Linked DNA regions of Caenorhabditis elegans. The protein of the gene in region 2 interacts with the protein of the main gene of each other region in a pairwise test. Each region holds a gene or a part of one and is shown on either strand. Other genes may lie near its edges.

Region 1 (4,186 bases), on a different chromosome or scaffold from region 2:
GGAATGTGATTTTTAAATTTTTTGAACAAGTGTTTTAGTGTTTTTAAAAACATTTTAAAAGCAGGAAACCTCAATTTTTGTGTTCCTGGGAAAAAAAAATTCAGAACAACTAATCAGTGATTGTAAACCTTATCACCTGTATATCCATTGACGCCAACTAACAATTGTGGAGGTTATAAATCCGCCACGATGTTTATCGACCACCTGATTTAGAGGTACCCCCCGTAAAAACACCGACTCGGAGAGTTTTGGGAAGAGTAAAGTTTTACAGCTTTTTTTTTGGTGTTTTGGAGATCAGTCTTATTTTCTAGGAAAATGGGGCTAATGGGGTCGGAGAAATTTGGGTTCAGATAACAATTTGGGAAACGATTATCTCGAAAAGCTTCGAGTTTACCGAATAGTTGCCAACTGACAAAATATAGCTCTGGAAATTATGAACAATCAGTTAGTTGACAAATTTTTGATAGCTGCATCCACAAAAAAGTTAGACCCCGGAAAAAAATTGAGTTTTTTTTTGAAAGTTGACATCTTTTTGATAGCTTTTGGGAAGACGAATATATCAAAATTATCCTGACTTATAGACTTAAAAGGTTTGCTCAAAAATTGCTCAGAAATTTTAATGGATCTGCAAAATTTGGAGAGTTTTTCCTAATATTTTTGAGCAATGTTTTAGAACATTCGTTATGAAATTCGAATTTTTAATATCACTTTATGTCTAAAAATGCAAAATAATTTTGATCCGTTAACCAATGTTTTCTTTTATCCATTTTCCTTCAGCTACCAATTTTTACACCTCCAGTCAATACTGTCGGTGTTCTATCAAAAGAGCCCACTACAACTAACCGGCTCAAAAATTTTACAACGTATGCTCTTTTGGAGGTAACCGACAAAAAAGGGGTATACTTGGAAATGGTATATTATCTGGAAATAGAAGGAGGGTTTGAAGATGGAATAATGGGTAATTGTGGAAGGTATGAAAATGTAAAATGGTAAAATCTTTATTTTGAAACATTAAATAAAGTTATTTTTTTCAAATTTCGGTTTTTATATGGTACAAAAAAATTCAGTTTACATTAATTTTTACTGTCATTCTTTCTTGAGAAAAGTGATCTCAAAGTAAAAATATACAAAATCCATACTGTCGATAAGCATGGTATACATAGCATAATTCTTTAATTAATAAGGAAGTTGTATCATCTTTAAATTTTGAACATTTTTTGAAGTTTACATAAAACCAACATTTTCGGACCGTCTTCTCTATTTCTATGCCACATCAGAATTTGATCTCCCAATTTTGTTTTGAAAGTATACCCAACTCTTTTGATCTACCAGTCAGCCGCCAAGTCTTCCCAGAATCGATAGCCGAGAGGGCCACGCGCACAACCTGCCCGCCCTTGCAGAGGGGTGTGGTTTGGCAATGAGGTGAGATGGGGTGAAGATGTGCACAATTTCTCACTTCTTTGTCTTAAATCACCATTTTTTTGTGATGACATCTCTATCTTATCGTGTTTCTTATTTTTCTATTTTTTTGTTTTCTTATTTTTGAACGGCGGGGATATCTCAGACGTTATCTCAAAACTGGCAAGAGATACCAAATAGTTGTCAACTAACAAAATATTGCAAATTTTATCATTGTTGCTTTGTTAGTTAACAACTTTTTGCTAGATACCACCGTTTTTAAGTTAGAATAGTTTTCCCGCTCCTCCTTCTCACTGGTACCACACTCTAAGCAAGTGTAGCTGCCAAACCGGTGAGAATATAACATTATATCTTATACCATTTTCCAACTTTTTTTTTGCTGTTCGTTTTCATAATATATTTTAACGTTTTCAGACAAAAAATGTCCAAAGTCAAAGTATCAATCGAAGGATCCCAAGAAACTCTCTGGAAGATATTCCACGCAGAAGTCAACGAGATGATTGTCACGAAGAACGGCCGAAAGTTGTTCCCAAAGTTGGAATATATAGTCGAAGGGCTTGATGAAAACAAGCTGTATGCAATAATGCTCCAATTACAACCAGTTGGAGAAAGTCGATTCAAGTTCAGCGGTGGAAAGTGGCAGGAAACGGGCAAAGCTGAGAAGCAGGTCGACGCGAAGAAGATGTGGCATGCTGATGGAGTTCGGAAGGGAAGGTGAGTGTGACATAGGAATTGGAAGATTAGAAGCTATGAAGATTTGTAAACTGACATGATTATCAAAATAGTGAGAACCATTTTGTCAATTGGCAACTTTTTTTAGCTCCGCCCTGGTATTACAACTTCAAAGCGCCATATCTCAGCGGGCTTGGAAGTTTTAAAAAAGATGTTAACTGGAAAATTGTTAACTGATTTATCATCTACAATTTGCCAGTTGACAACTTTTTTCTAGCTTGAGCCATTGAAGAGTTAGAGCTGCCGACACTGGCATTCAAATGCCTTTGGAATATTTTGAGGGTTACATCTCATCTAACATTAAAGTTTTCAAAGTTTGTCGTTTGTCAACTGACAACATAATTCAGATGAAAATAATTCTAAATTTGCTAAATTTATATCTTCAAAGTAACCCCAATTAATTTCAGTGACTGGATGTGGAGTTCGATTTGCTTTGATCGTGTGAAAATCTCCAACTATTCAGAGTCCAACAACGCTTCAATGGTAGGATTTCAACTTTAAAATTACTTGGCAATTTCCAATTTAAAATTGAAATTTCAGATTTACCTCAACAGCATGCACAAGTACATTCCAGTGCTGACAATCTACGAGTCTCCATCGGAGAGCCCTTTCTGCGTCCCACAATCCTCAAACCAAATCGTCGCCACCGCCAAATTCCCTCATACCGAGTTTATTGCAGTAACGGCTTACCAGGTTAGTATTGAGAGTAAGAGTATTAGCGCATGGATCTTATCTCGGAAGAATCAATATTTTGTGAACAATGGGAAATCTGGGAAGGAAGGGGGAAGTCTTGTCAACCATCATACTTATCAAGAAGTCGTTAACTAATAATTTGTAACCCTAGTTGTAAAGATTAATTAGTTAGTTGACAAGTTTTTAATAGAGTTAAAAGAAGGAGAGTTACACTTGCTCAAAATTTGGCTCTATTTATAAATTTGAAACTGCGCTACTTTAAGCACTCCTACCTCGCCAATAAAAAGAGCTATATAAAAGTTGTCAACTACAAAAATATTGCTCGCTTTGTGATCCATAATATGGTGTTTAACAATTTCTTAATAGATTCTTTGTTTTCAAAGATAGAGAGAGTTGAATAATAAACCTAATTTTTCCTCATTTCAGAACCAAAAAATCACCGACTTGAAAATCAAGCACAACAGTTTTGCCAAAGGTTTCCGTGACGGGAACTTGAGTCGCAAGAGAAGATCACCATCATATTCCGACGGCAGCAACTCACAGTCCCCATCGCCAAAATCCAGATCACCACCGGAGGTCGCACCTCTTCAGTCGATGCCTCCAATCAACCCATTTCTTTTTTATTTTCCCCATATGTTATCTGAAAATCTTCCAGTCCAATTTCCATTCGCTTTTCCATTTCTCTCGCCTCTCCCGTCGACTCCTTCCAGCTCGAGCAGTGAGCTGAGCATTGTGAAGGAGGAGGATCAGGAGGTAGAAGAAGATATTGATATTGTTGGTTGATAATTTTTATGCAAACTGGTCGCTTTTGATATCATGTAATCAAAATTTTTAATATATAAATATATAAAGCTTTATATTTTCAAAGAAACGACTTTTTGAAGACCCGCCGATTAAATTAGAAGTTTGTCGACTGAAAAAGGCAGCCTAGACTGCTAGCCAACAATTTTTATACCTACAATACTTAAAAATGTATTGTTTAAAGGAACACGTAGTTTTCTGAGTGGGTCTTGCCACGATCACAGTCATAGTGGTCGCTGCAGAACCCACATTTTTAGATTTGCTTATTTGATGTTGAAATGGAAAATTTTCAAGACATTACGAGAACACACAATTCTGAGGATGCGTATTGCGCAACATATTTGACGCGCAAAATATCTCGTAGCGAAAACTACAGTAATTCTTTAGAAGACTACTGTAGTCAAGGGTTCGACTTTTTGAATTGATGTTCAATTGATGTTCAATATTTTCCTCCTTTTCTTCTAGTCTGATTCATTTCAAAAATCGAGCTCGTAAATCGACACAAGCGCTACAGTAGTCTTTTGAAGAATTACTGTAGTTT
Region 2 (5,026 bases):
TTCCCGAATTATCTATTTTTACAACAATCCATACCTTTTTATCAGATTTTGCTAAAGTTTTGCCAACTTTCGCCAACCTTCGTTAGACATTTGTCAACTTTCAAAAAGCAATTGCAATAGTTCCAAACTGCTGCTCAATTTTTGACCAACTTTTTTGAATTGTTTCTATACTTTCAATATTTTTTAAAAACAACTTTCGCGAACTGTCGCTAGACTTTCGGCAAGAAACAACTTCTTCTGAATCTACGACAATTTTCTGCAACTGTTATCAGATCTTCGACATTTTGAGCAACGTTTGCCAACTTCTGTTAATTTTTTCTAGACTTTCAGCAATCCCCGCAAGGTTTTTACGAACTCCGACCAACCTTCGCCAAAATTTCATCAATTTTCACCAGTGTTTTTCAAGAAGTTGCGTTTTTCTCAAACTTGTGGTAGATCTTTGGCAGACTTTTGTTCAATTTCAGTCTATTTTAACTTTCGCTATACTATCACCAATTTTCATCAACTTTGTGCAACTTTCGTCAACCAATTTCCCTCTAATTTTCATTCCCAATTCCGCTTAAAGCTTCAACTAAAAGCAAAATAAAAAACCGAATATCCCCCAATTTTCCAATTTTCCTGCACCGGAAAAAACATAGAGCTTCTTCCCCTTCTTCTTCTACTCCATCTCCACCCACACATACTACCGGTTCTCCTAGATTTTCAGTCTAAACCATTTCAATTGTGTCTTACGGTAGTTTATCATGAGATTTAGATGGAATTGAAGAAGAGAGAAATGACACGAAAGAGTGTGTAAACTTTTTATTACATTTTGGAAGACTAACCATGTCGTAGTACACACTCAGGCTTTTTGGCTTTTTGTGTCTAGATTCCTCTGCATGATCTACAGAGATTTTTTTGGCAGATTGCCAAAATTTACTTAAATTTCTGACAAAAAAATTAAAATATTTTTTTAAAAAGATTTTTGTTTTAAAGTACTAAAACGTAACCTTCTGCAATTTCAGAAAGTTATAATCTAGATTATTAAAAAATCTCACAATTTAAAGTTTCCAGAAAATTTTTAAATCTGAAAATGATTTTGAAAAACAATTCGGCATTCGACAAAATTAATGTTTTGATTTAAATTTTTTTGAAATTCTCTTTTTTAAAAGTACCAGTTTTCAATATTTTGTTATCAGAAATATTTCAGAAAAATTTTGATTTAAAAAACATTAACTGAAAATTCAAAAAATATTTTTTTGTGTTGATTTTAGAAATTTTAAGATTTTTTAAAATTGGGTTTTGCAAATATTAATCTTTTGAAAATGTTTTAAACAAAAATTAACAATTTTTTAATATGAATATTTTAAAATTTCCCTTTAATTACACAATTTTTTCTACATTTCTCCAAATTAAAATAGTTAAAAGAATAATTTTCAAAAATAATTCAACATTTGAAACAAAAAACGGATATATGTATATATATATATATATTCTTATGTCTTATTTCCTTTTTTCCATTTCTAGATTATCCCAGCTTCTGACTCCCCTTAGCCTTTTTTTTCTAAAAATCTCAAATTTTTCCGTTTCAGACCCCTTCTAAATTTAAATCCACTCAAACAGATGGCCTTCCAGCCGGCGTTTAACGCCCGTCTGATAAACGAGGTTCGTAAGTACCCGTGCCTATATAATCATTCACGACGTGGCAGCGGGGACACAATGGAACGTCAACGACTTTGGGAATCAATCGCCAAAAATATTGACCCGAATTGTGCGGCAGAGTTTGCGAAGAAACGATGGTTGCAGCTGAGGGATCGATATCGGAAAGAATTAAAGATTGCAATTAAAAATGGATTTGTGACACCTGTTAGATGGTGTTATTTTAATCAATTATCGTGGTTGGACCCGTTTTTGAAGGATAATATGTAAGAATTGAATTTCATAATTATTTTTCAACTCGTTTTTTTCTGGCCATCACAAAGCTAATTTTTTAATATTTTTTCTAATATTTTTTTGTTGAAAAACCGCGAAATTTTTGGTTTGTAGGCATATCAAAACAAAAAACTGAAATTTAAAAAATAAGTTCACCTAATTTGAAATATATCTAAAGAGTCTAAATTAACACTTCAAAAATTCAGAAAAAAAAATTTGAAAAATCTCATTAAAAAATCAAAAGTTGTAGATAAAATCAAATTCAAAAAAAAACTTCAAAAATACTAAAACATTTAATTAAAATTCCAGAATTCTTTTTTTTCTTAAATTAAAAATTATAAAAATTAAAAAAAAAACAATTTATCGACAAAAAACTGATCGATTCGAAATTTAATATTTTGAAAAAAAATTAAAATTTTCTACAAAAAATTAATTCAAGATATATCAAAAAGAATCTGAAAAGTAAAAAATAATAATTTAGAACTCCGCGATTATAAGTTAAAATTCTCATCTTCAAAGTCTATTTTTTGCAGTGGTCAAGCAGCAGATGAAGGCAAAAAAACTGGTAAATCTGACTCTTTTGATGAGCCATCAGGCACACCGTTCAGCTGGTTCGGTTTTCCAAATTTAAATTCAATAAAAGACGAGATGGAAGATGATGATAGTGATCCAGCACTCGAATCTTCGGTTTTAGACCGACTACTTGCACAAACCGCCCAACGATTGGACAGTATATCCCCTGAAATTGAAAATGATGAATCTGGAACTCAAAGTCTCGATGGAAATCTAGATGGAGTTGATGGGGATGGAGATGAGGAGGAAGATCTTAAAATAAAAGATGAAGATGAAGTAGAGGAAGATGGCCCAGAAAAGGTGAAAAGTCAATCCGAAGCTATGGCGATGCTCAAGGAGGCTATAAGTGCTCAGAGCCAACAGCAGACTCAGCAGGCTCAACAGGTCCAGCAGGTCCAACAGACCCCACAGAAACCATCAGTGGAGTCCCTCATAGCAGCGAATCAGGCTAGATTTGCACACCATCTTGCTGCACAGCTCACTGGGATGAGTTCAATGCTCAATGGAGCCAGGAAATCCGAGGAGGCAGCGATCCCGCCGCTCCGACCTTCAACACCACCGCCAACCGCGTCCACTACGAGCCACTTCCATCCTTATAAAGAGGCGGCGAGGAATAGGCATAGGCAGCAGACTGCGGATAATGTTATGAGATATCATTTGCAACAGGTGAGCGGGTTTGGAACATTTGGTAAAAAAAATTTTTTTCGGAAGGATCGTGATTTTCCTGGATTTTTTGGAGATTTTTGATTTTTTTAAAATAATTTCTCTGAAACTTTCTTAAATTAAAAAAAAATTCTAGATTTTTTGTAAAAAATATTAGATGCGATTGAAAATAGTTTGCTGAATTCTTGGAAACTTCGGATTTAGTTCTGTTTTTTTTAATGTTACCTTTTTTCGGAAAATTTAGTGATTTTCAAGAAAAAATGTTAAAGTTAAAAAATTTTTTAATGAACTTTTCGGAATGATTTTTTGAAGGTTGAAGTGTATAATTTTCAGAATTTTTTTTTGGTTTTCTGAATTACATTTAATTACTTTCTAGATTATTAAAATTTAATTTTTATTAAAAAAATATATTCGGAAACATTTTAAGTGTTTCTAGTTAAAAAAAATTTTTCGAATTTAAATATTTATTTCAAGTTTTAAGAGATTTTTAAATCGAAGTTTCTGGATTTTCTTACCAAAATTAGGATTTTTTCTCAGCAAATTTCAAAAATTTATAACGTGTTCCTACATTAGAAATTTTAAGAAAGAATTTCTAGAATAATATAACTTTTTTCCAGGTCGGTCGGGTTGCTCTTGAATGGCTCAATGATGAGGATTTATTGTACAGCCGGATAATTGGGTTGAAGCTTAAGAAAATGGACCCGAAAAAACGGAAAAAGGTGAGAGATTGTTTTCAGATATATTCAACAAGTTCAGACTCCAACTTTTTTCAGGTCCGTCACCAAATAATGTCACTACTGGACGAAACCGATGACACCCACCATATTGTAGACAATGATGACTCTTGTAGCAGTCCATCAGCACATAGTCCAACCGGAGAGCACGATGAAGATTGCGCAGTTGAGCCAACGGCAAATGAAATTCCAACGGCTTGAAAATTAGTCTTTTGTTTGTAGTATATGGGTCCCCCCCCCCACGAAAAAATGATTTGCGCCTTCAAGCTAAAATGCAAAAATATGCCTGATCGGTTTAAAAGGCGCATAATTTATTTTCGTGTCGAGACCTAAATTCTGGTAGGCTACTGTAACATTGAAAAAACACTTCCTTTATTTTTCAAAATATCTATTTTGTGTTTTCTTATTGGTGCTCTCCTCATTTTATTAAATGTAGAAAACGAAAAATGTTCAAAAACTAGTTTTTAGTGTATTCTCACTCCCCGTCGGTCTAGTCAGTGCGCAATTCTTTCACTTTTCTTTTGTTCCCTCCATAATTTCAGCATTTTTTTTATTTTTTGAAATTAGTCTCTACAAACACCATCATCTTGCCTGTATATTTTTGTACCACGATTTTTTTATAATAAACGTGTATTTTTTGGTTTTGGACAGAGCGCGTGCTCCCTCCGACTCGCGGATTCTGAATTGTTCTGTGTATTTTGGAGATTTTCCTGAAATTGTTAATTTTTGGAGAAGAAGGAATTTTTATTTGCTAGACCTTTCTGGAAACAGCTAGATAACTCTAGTTTTTTAAAGGAGTTTTTAAAAAACTTCCGAAAATTTTTTTTTTTTTCAGAAGTTCTTGCCCAAATATTTCAGACATTTTTCAGAAGTTTTATCATATCAAATATATTTTGTAATTTTTCCCACATTTTTTCCAAAAATTTCCTTCACGTGAACTTCCACAATTTCAACCGATAACATCTTCCATGCAAAATGAATTATTTCCAACAATTTGTTTCAACTTTCCAACCGGTCAATTAAAGTTGCACAATGTATCAATTATTATTCTACAACGTCATCTGCGCGATCATGTTTTTCATGACTATAACCTCAAATTGTCTGAAAGGGAAACCGAAAGAGGGCAGGTTAGGATTAATGTTTCT
Region 3 (7,572 bases), on a different chromosome or scaffold from region 2:
CATATATGCAAATTGATGTTCGGCAAATTGACATTGTGCAATTTGCCGAACATGAAAATTTCCGGCAAACTGGCAAACCGGCAGTTTCCCGGAAAACAATTTTCCGAACGACAATTGCCAGTTTTCCGGTATATATATTTATATATTCCCTATTACGATCAATATAGAATCCTGTTTAGCCAAAATCTTTTTTGATTTTTCCCAAGGAACAACATTTTAAAAAAATACGTACCTTTTTATTGCCACGAAATTTAATTGGAAAAAATCAATTTTGAAATAAAATGTATTTTTGTATTTATATAAAAAGCAATTCTATTTATTTTTAAAACGTGTTGGATTAGTTTTTTAAAATAAAAAAAACAACACCGAAATTTAGTCATTTTTCGTTCAATCGTTAGTGAGAAGCGGTGAGTTTTGGCGATTTTGAGCATTTTCCGTTGAAAATATGAGTAATTTCCTATTAAACTGGTTATTTCGATCGCGCTAGTGAAATTTCTTGAAATTGTGTAGCAAAATGGGCTTACATGCTATTTTAAGATGAGCAATTGAAGCATTTTATTTTGATTCAGTCAGAATTTTGAAATACTTACGAAAATAGCAATTATATCAATTCCAAATCAAAAAATATGGTACTTATGGGTTTCGTTCCCCCCAAAATGATTTCCATATTTTCTAATTGATACGTGAACTTTTTTTTCATTCCCAGGCTTAGGGAAATGATTTTCTAAGCCTTGTAAAAATGAAAACAGTATTAAAATAAACAATAACGTGTGGATTAAAATTAAAAAGGTAGTGTTGAATAATTAAAAATCATTTTGGGGGGAACGAAACCCATAAGTACCAAAAATATAGTTTCTTCTAGAAATATATTTTTTATTGCCGCTAAATTTAGAAAAATTCAATTTCGAATGAATATGTATTTATTTATTTTGAAAAAAACGTACATTAAAACGTGTCGGATTAGATTTTACTTCCCTTTTTTTAATTTTAAAATTCAAAAAATTCATTTCTATATTTAAAAATTTGGCAGTTTTGGCGTTTCCCTTTTATTACAGTGAGTTAGCCAACTTTTTCGAGCTAATAACATTACATTAAGCTTTAGAAAAAACTTTAGAAGTTTTGAGAAATACTACTTTTAAAACTTCGATTTTTTCAATTTTTGGCTAAATTCTATTCTAGTTTGAATATCCTCCAAAATGAGAGCTCCCCTACGACTATTTTGGATTTTTTGAAGCGAATCCTAAAAAAATGGGCTGAAAATGCCAAAAATCGTCTAATTTCCAGTAAAGTTTTTTGGCGAAATCCATATTTAACAGCTCTTTAATAGTCCTACAAATTCGACAAATTGCCGATTCGTCGGAAATTGGCCGGTTTACCGATTTGCCAGAAAAAGTCGTTTGCCGCCCACCCCTGTTCCCACTTTGGCTAGGAATTCCTAAAAGTTTATCGAATTTTGAAATGTTACTCCATTTCACCTCATATTTGCCTTAAATATCACCCATTTTTATACGTTTCCTCGTATTTTTCAAACCCAACGCCCAAATGAAATATTTTATTATTTTTTATTTTCAGGTGAATAGCCTCATTCTCTCCGTTTTCCCTCTCAAAAAACCACATCATATCCTCATCATCTAATCTCTGGCTCTTCTCATTTATTGGACAGAGCTCATATATACACACACACACACAAGAATCAAATCAATCAGTAGTGTGGTGTGATGAATAAGCAGTTACTATCGTGCTCGCTGAAAAGCGGAAAACAAGTGACGATGGTCGTCGCGTCAGTCGCCACGGATGGTGTTGATCAGCAGGTTGGTTTTGAGTGAGGAAATTTTAATTTTCTCGGAGAAATTTGGATGAAAAGAAGTTGGATATCAGAGGTGGGCGGGTATTTTTTTCGGATATTTTCTAATAATGAATTTATCAATAAGTATTGATGTAGTTATTCTGGAAAAAATGTATCCGAACAAAAGAGTAACTATTAAGCAACATTTTAATATGATAAAACCTAAAAAAATTCTACAAGTTTTCTGTATAAACGATATGCAAGTCCATTATCCGATATCCGTAATATCCGTAATATCCGATTGCTTAATAGTTACTCTTTTGTTCGGATACATTTCTTCCAGAATAACTACATCAATACTTATTGATAAATTCATTATTAGAAAATATCCGAAAAAATATCCGCCCACCTCTGGTGGAAATGCATGAAAATGAGGATTTTCACAAAAAAAAACTCTTTGGAAGTGATACAAATATATTTTTCGATATTTAGTACAACACAATAAATGAGTTATTACGTGTTTATCCACAGATAAGAAAAATCGCCATATCTGCCGCGCAAATGAACCCGCGGGAAGAGACAAAACTACTGTAGTTTTTAACCAATTTGTGTAGATTTACGAGCTATTGCGTCATCGTTGAATTTAATTTTGAGCCGCAATTTTTAATTTTCAGGCGTGTTTCACTCTTTTTTATATTGAAATTTATCTATTTATTGAATAAATCTTAAAAGAAAACACAAAAAAATTAGAAAAACGCCTGCAAATTAAATTCAACGATGACGCAATAGCTCGTAAATCTACACAAATTGGTTAAAAACTACAGTAGTTTTATCTCTTCCCGCGGGTTCATTTGCGCGGCAGATATGGCGATTTTTCTCATCTGTGGATAAACACGTAATAAATAGGTTGACAAAATTGTTCTCCTTTTCCTCGTGGAGTACACGATTTTACTCAAGCACTTAAAATATCAATTTCTTCAAAAAAAAAAAAAGGAAATTTGCTGGAAAACTAGCTGATAAAATGTGAAAAAATTATTATTAAAAAATCTCCAAACGAAAAAAAACACTGTAATTCAAATTTTAATTAAAAAAAAATGTATTGTAGGTTGAAATCTCGTACTACGATCAGAAAGTGATTGGAAATGGATCATTCGGAGTGGTATTCCTTGCCAAACTCTCTACAACAAATGAAATGGTTGCAATCAAGAAAGTTCTTCAGGACAAACGATTCAAGAATCGTGAACTACAGATTATGCGAAAATTGAATCATCCAAATATCGTGAAGCTCAAATACTTTTTCTATTCGAGCGGCGAGAAGAAGGATGAACTCTACTTGAATTTGATTCTCGAATATGTTCCTGAAACTGTCTACAGGTTATTTTTATTAGGATTTTTAAAAATTTCTGGAAAATTTCAGTTTTTAGCGGAATTTTTTTGTTCAAAAATAAAGAGAATTTCTTATTTAAAAATTGAAAAAAAAAATTTTTTTGGAAATTTTTAAATAAAAATTGCGAATTTCTTTTTTAAAGATATTTTTAAAAATTTTGAAAAACAATAGTAGAAATTCAATAAAAAGCTGAATTTTTATGTTTTTTTTTGTGAAAAACTGTTTAAAAATGATGTTAATGTAAATTTTTAAAGGAAATAATCAAAAAATGCCTGATTTTTTTAACCTTTTTTGTTAATTTCTGACAAAAATTCATGGAAATTTGATTTTCCGTCGATTTTGTGAAATTTTGGTTCGAAAATTGAATTTTTTCGCTAAATTTTGATTTTTTAAGATAAAAATTGATTTTTCCCGAATTCCAGCGCTACAGGGCGATTTCAAGCAGATTTCTTTGCAACATTTTTGACTAAAATGCACTATTTCACGAATTTCCTCCTGAAATTTATGTAAAAAGCTATTTAAAAGTTCAAAAATGCGTTCCAAACGTATAGAAAGGCTACAAACTACATGGCTGATAGCTTGGAATTTAGAAAATACGATTTTAAAACAAAAAAACTTGAAATTTTGCAAAATTCTTTACAAAATTGAAAATATTCTATTTTTTTATAATTTTGAATTTTCAAGTTGAAAACCTAGAAATTTTTTTTTGACAATTTTTGACTAAAATTTATGGAAAAAATTATGTAAAAATTGAAAAAATTTAGAAAAATCGATTTTTAAACAAAAAAACTTGATGTTTTGCGAAATTTATTTGAAATTTTTAATTTTTGCAGAGTTGCCCGGCACTATTCGAAGCAGCGACAACAAATTCCAATGATTTATGTCAAATTGTACATGTATCAGCTTCTCCGTTCATTGGCCTACATTCATAGCATTGGAATCTGTCACCGTGACATTAAGCCTCAGAATTTGCTCATTGACCCGGAAAGCGGAGTGCTTAAGCTCTGTGATTTTGGATCTGCCAAATATTTGGTTCGCAATGAGCCAAACGTCTCGTACATTTGCTCGCGATATTATCGTGCTCCGGAGCTCATTTTCGGCGCTACAAACTACACGAACTCGATTGACGTTTGGTCGGCTGGAACTGTAATGGCAGAGCTTCTTCTCGGCCAACCAATTTTCCCTGGTGACTCTGGAGTTGATCAACTCGTTGAAATTATTAAAGTTCTTGGAACACCGACTCGTGAACAAATTCAAAGTATGAATCCGAACTACAAGGAATTCAAATTTCCACAGATAAAGGCACATCCATGGAATAAGGTATTCCGTGTACACACGCCTGCTGAAGCGATTGATCTCATTTCGAAGATTATCGAGTATACGCCGACGTCTCGGCCAACACCTCAAGCGGTGAGTTTTTTGGGGGTTTTTGTAGAAAAAAGGCCGAAAAATGAATTAAAAATGTTTTCCCAACACTAAATTGCTGAAAATCGACTCTTTTTTCAACTAAAAACCTTTTAAATTGAAAAAAATTGATTTTTTGTCATTGAAAACTTGAGAAAATTGCCCAAAAGTTTAAAAAATACTGCGAAATTCAGGAATTTTAATCATTTTGGCTATTTTACAATTTTATGAGAAAAATCTCTAAAAATTAATGGAAGTTTGAATTTTTCGACTTTTTATCGAGATAATTAAAATGGCGAAAATTGCACAAAAAATGTCAAAAACTGATTTCCGGTAGTTTTTAACGTTTAAAAACACTTGAAAATGGAAAAACAAAACTTATATTAAAATTGTGTCAAAAAATTATTGAAATTGTCTAAAAATGGACTTTTTTTTTGTTTTTCGGTTTTGAAAGCGAATGTTCTGTAATTTTATTCTCAAAAAATGCGAATTTTTGCTCACAAAAGTTATTATGGAACACAAAATCCTTAAAAAAACATATTCGATGCGCAAAATATATCGTAGCGAAAACTACAGTAACCTTTTAAAGGACTACTGTAGCGCTGCGCTTGTGTCGATTTACGGGCTCGATTTTTATTCTGCATTTATTAATCAAAAAATGAGACAATAATACGAAGAAACGAAGGAAAATATAGAATAGATTCATATCGAAAATCAATCCCGTAAATCGCCACACGGAGCTATAGTACCCATTTAAAGGGTTACTGTAGTTTTCGCAATGAGATATTTTGCGCGTCAATTATGATGTGTAATACGCATTCTTCTCAGAATTTTCGGTTCCCGTAATATGAATGAAAAAAAAAGAGAAAGTTGAGTGTGATTTTTGAGACATTAGACAGTTGACTGAAAATTTATTTAAAAAATTTCGGCCATTCGGTCAGCTTATTTTTCCTCCATTTTGAAAATTGCAGATTTTGCAGATTTTCGATCGCTCAAAAAAAAAGCAGCCAGTTTGAAACGAAATTCAATGATTTTATCTGTATTTTTCCAAAAAAAAGTATCTTCATTGTTCACAAATTCGATCGCCCCCTCACAAAACCGCTTAGAAAGTCCACCCCGTTCGTTGGTTGCTTTTGAAAATCGCCTTAATATCTATCGTTGAAATCTTTGTTTCCTCATTGTAATTCTCCCATAGATCAAGCCATTTCCCGGTTTTTTTTCTTAGATTTCTCAAATTGGCACGAATATGGAAGATATTTATGGAAGCAGATGGGAGCATTAGATTTTTACACAAAAAAAATTGCAGAATTTTGGCTTTTTTTTCCAATTTTTGGAAAAAGATAACTTGTGAAACCGTGGTTTTTAATTTTGAAAAAAAAGCTATAAATTCAAAGTTAGTGAAATCTGAAATAGACATAAAAATTGAAAATCCCACTGAAATTTCAACTTGAATTTAACAAAATTTCAGCTAAAACTTGGAAAGAAATGTTTCTTGGAATTTTTATAGAACTCGCTGACAAGCAGTGAGCAGTAAAAAACTCGGCTCACAATTTATCCGTACTTTTATTTTTTGAAACTAGTAACTAAATGTCAACTGCAAGAATATTAGAGGCCATACTACAAATGAGATTTCCAGAAAATTATGATGTTCTCGTAATTTTAAAGATGGAGACATTTACGTGGTATGATGGTTGAAAATTAGAAAATTGGCTTGAAAACACTTTTAAATTTAGAAAAACCACAAAAAACGAGCAAAATCGAGAAAAATGAACAATTCAACTTTCGAAAACACGATTTTCCCTATTGTGACTAACTAGTATATTTTAAATTTCCATTTTGAATTTCCTCCAAAACGAGAACTTCCCGACCAATCAGCGATTCGTCCTGCCCACTTTTCAACCAATCAGATGAAGTGGGCGGAGTTCGATGTCGTTGATTGATCGATTGGGGAGTTTGCATTTTGGAGGGAATTGTCTGCGTTTTGATCTACAAAAAATGCGGGAATTTTTTCCCAGAAAAATTGTAACGTCTGCACGCTTTTAACCATGTGAAATCAGTTGAGATGTTTGCGTCTCATCTCCCGCATTTTTCGTAGATCAAATCAAAATGGGACTTTCTGACTCCACGTGGATTCAAACATGGGGAATTTGGAACTCACAATGGACAAAAATATCGATTTTGCTCGTTTTTCTGAATTTGAGACTGTATTTTGAAATTTTTGAGAGACAAAATCGCCCCCAATTCACGCTACTTTAACAATTCAACCAATATATATATGTTTTTCGTCTTTTTCAGGCCTGCCAGCACGCATTCTTTGATGAGCTCCGAAACCCGGATGCACGTCTTCCATCTGGTCGACCTCTTCCAACACTTGAGATGGACGGTCCAATGGGAACTGGTGAAGTTTCAACGACAAGCGGTGATGTGGCTGGCCCATCGGCTTAAACTTCTTTTTTTTATTTTAATATTGGTTCTGAATTTTCTCTCGAATGTTTCTTTTTTTTTCATTTTCCGTGGGATTTTTCTTTTCCATTGATTTTATACATCCATCCTCTCCTCTCTCTCTGTCTCTCTCTCTCTCCATACCTATCATCATTAAGAAAAAAATTATTATTTTTTCTTTTGAGCCCTCCCCCCCCCACCCCCCTCCATCGCCCGTATCGTCTCCATAGCAACTGTGTTGTAGAAGCATTTCCCCCCAACTCGATTGTCTGCTGCTCTTCTTTTATTTTATTTTATTGTCCCCTCAAGCTTTTTTGTCTCGAAAAACTTGAATTTTTACTCTTTTTTTTTTACCCCACCTGGCTCCCCCCTGGATTTTTCTGTGAAAATTTGGCTAAAAATTAGGTTTTCAAGGTTCCTGAAATTTTGGCTGAAAATTGGGTTTTAGGCCAAAAATTTTGGGTTTTTTAAACCTTTGGCCTAATTTTTGAGGCCCAATTTTTTAGGACTTCATCTAGGCCCAAAGGCCTGAAAAAATCCGCGACTTCTGTAC

What was found. Proteins that work in one complex are often made in the same cells at the same time.
Region 1: the proteins of madf-5 (region 2) and tbx-9 interact in a two-hybrid assay, tested with the Caenorhabditis elegans proteins (one large-scale study listed by BioGRID).
Region 3: the proteins of madf-5 (region 2) and gsk-3 interact in a two-hybrid assay, tested with the Caenorhabditis elegans proteins (one large-scale study listed by BioGRID).

The regions. Positions count from the first base shown.
Region 1 is NC_003281.10:10,339,506-10,343,691, reverse strand, and holds tbx-9 (T-box transcription factor tbx-9), read left to right. Parts: upstream 1-1,833; 5' UTR 1,834-1,840; coding exon 1,841-2,133; intron 2,134-2,558; coding exon 2,559-2,634; intron 2,635-2,691; coding exon 2,692-2,844; intron 2,845-3,270; coding exon 3,271-3,627; 3' UTR 3,628-3,686; downstream 3,687-4,186. UniProt on the Caenorhabditis elegans protein: Transcription factor. Involved in the control of early morphogenesis of the intestine, hypodermis and body-wall muscle. Involved in regulating expression of vab-7. Appears to have partially redundant function to tbx-8.
Region 2 is NC_003280.10:14,572,044-14,577,069, forward strand, and holds madf-5 (Alcohol dehydrogenase transcription factor myb/sant-like protein), read left to right. Parts: upstream 1-1,571; 5' UTR 1,572-1,602; coding exon 1,603-1,904; intron 1,905-2,173; exon of another isoform or gene 2,174-2,366; intron 2,367-2,444; coding exon 2,445-3,150; intron 3,151-3,764; coding exon 3,765-3,866; intron 3,867-3,920; coding exon 3,921-4,082; 3' UTR 4,083-4,518; downstream 4,519-5,026. Other genes in the region: C01G12.13 (uncharacterized protein), read left to right, coding at 4,914-5,004.
Region 3 is NC_003279.8:12,817,644-12,825,215, forward strand, and holds the start of gsk-3 (Glycogen synthase kinase-3), read left to right. Parts: upstream 1-1,572; 5' UTR 1,573-1,718; coding exon 1,719-1,811; intron 1,812-2,891; coding exon 2,892-3,160; intron 3,161-4,006; coding exon 4,007-4,583; intron 4,584-6,475; exon of another isoform or gene 6,476-6,529; intron 6,530-6,872; coding exon 6,873-7,022; 3' UTR 7,023-7,572.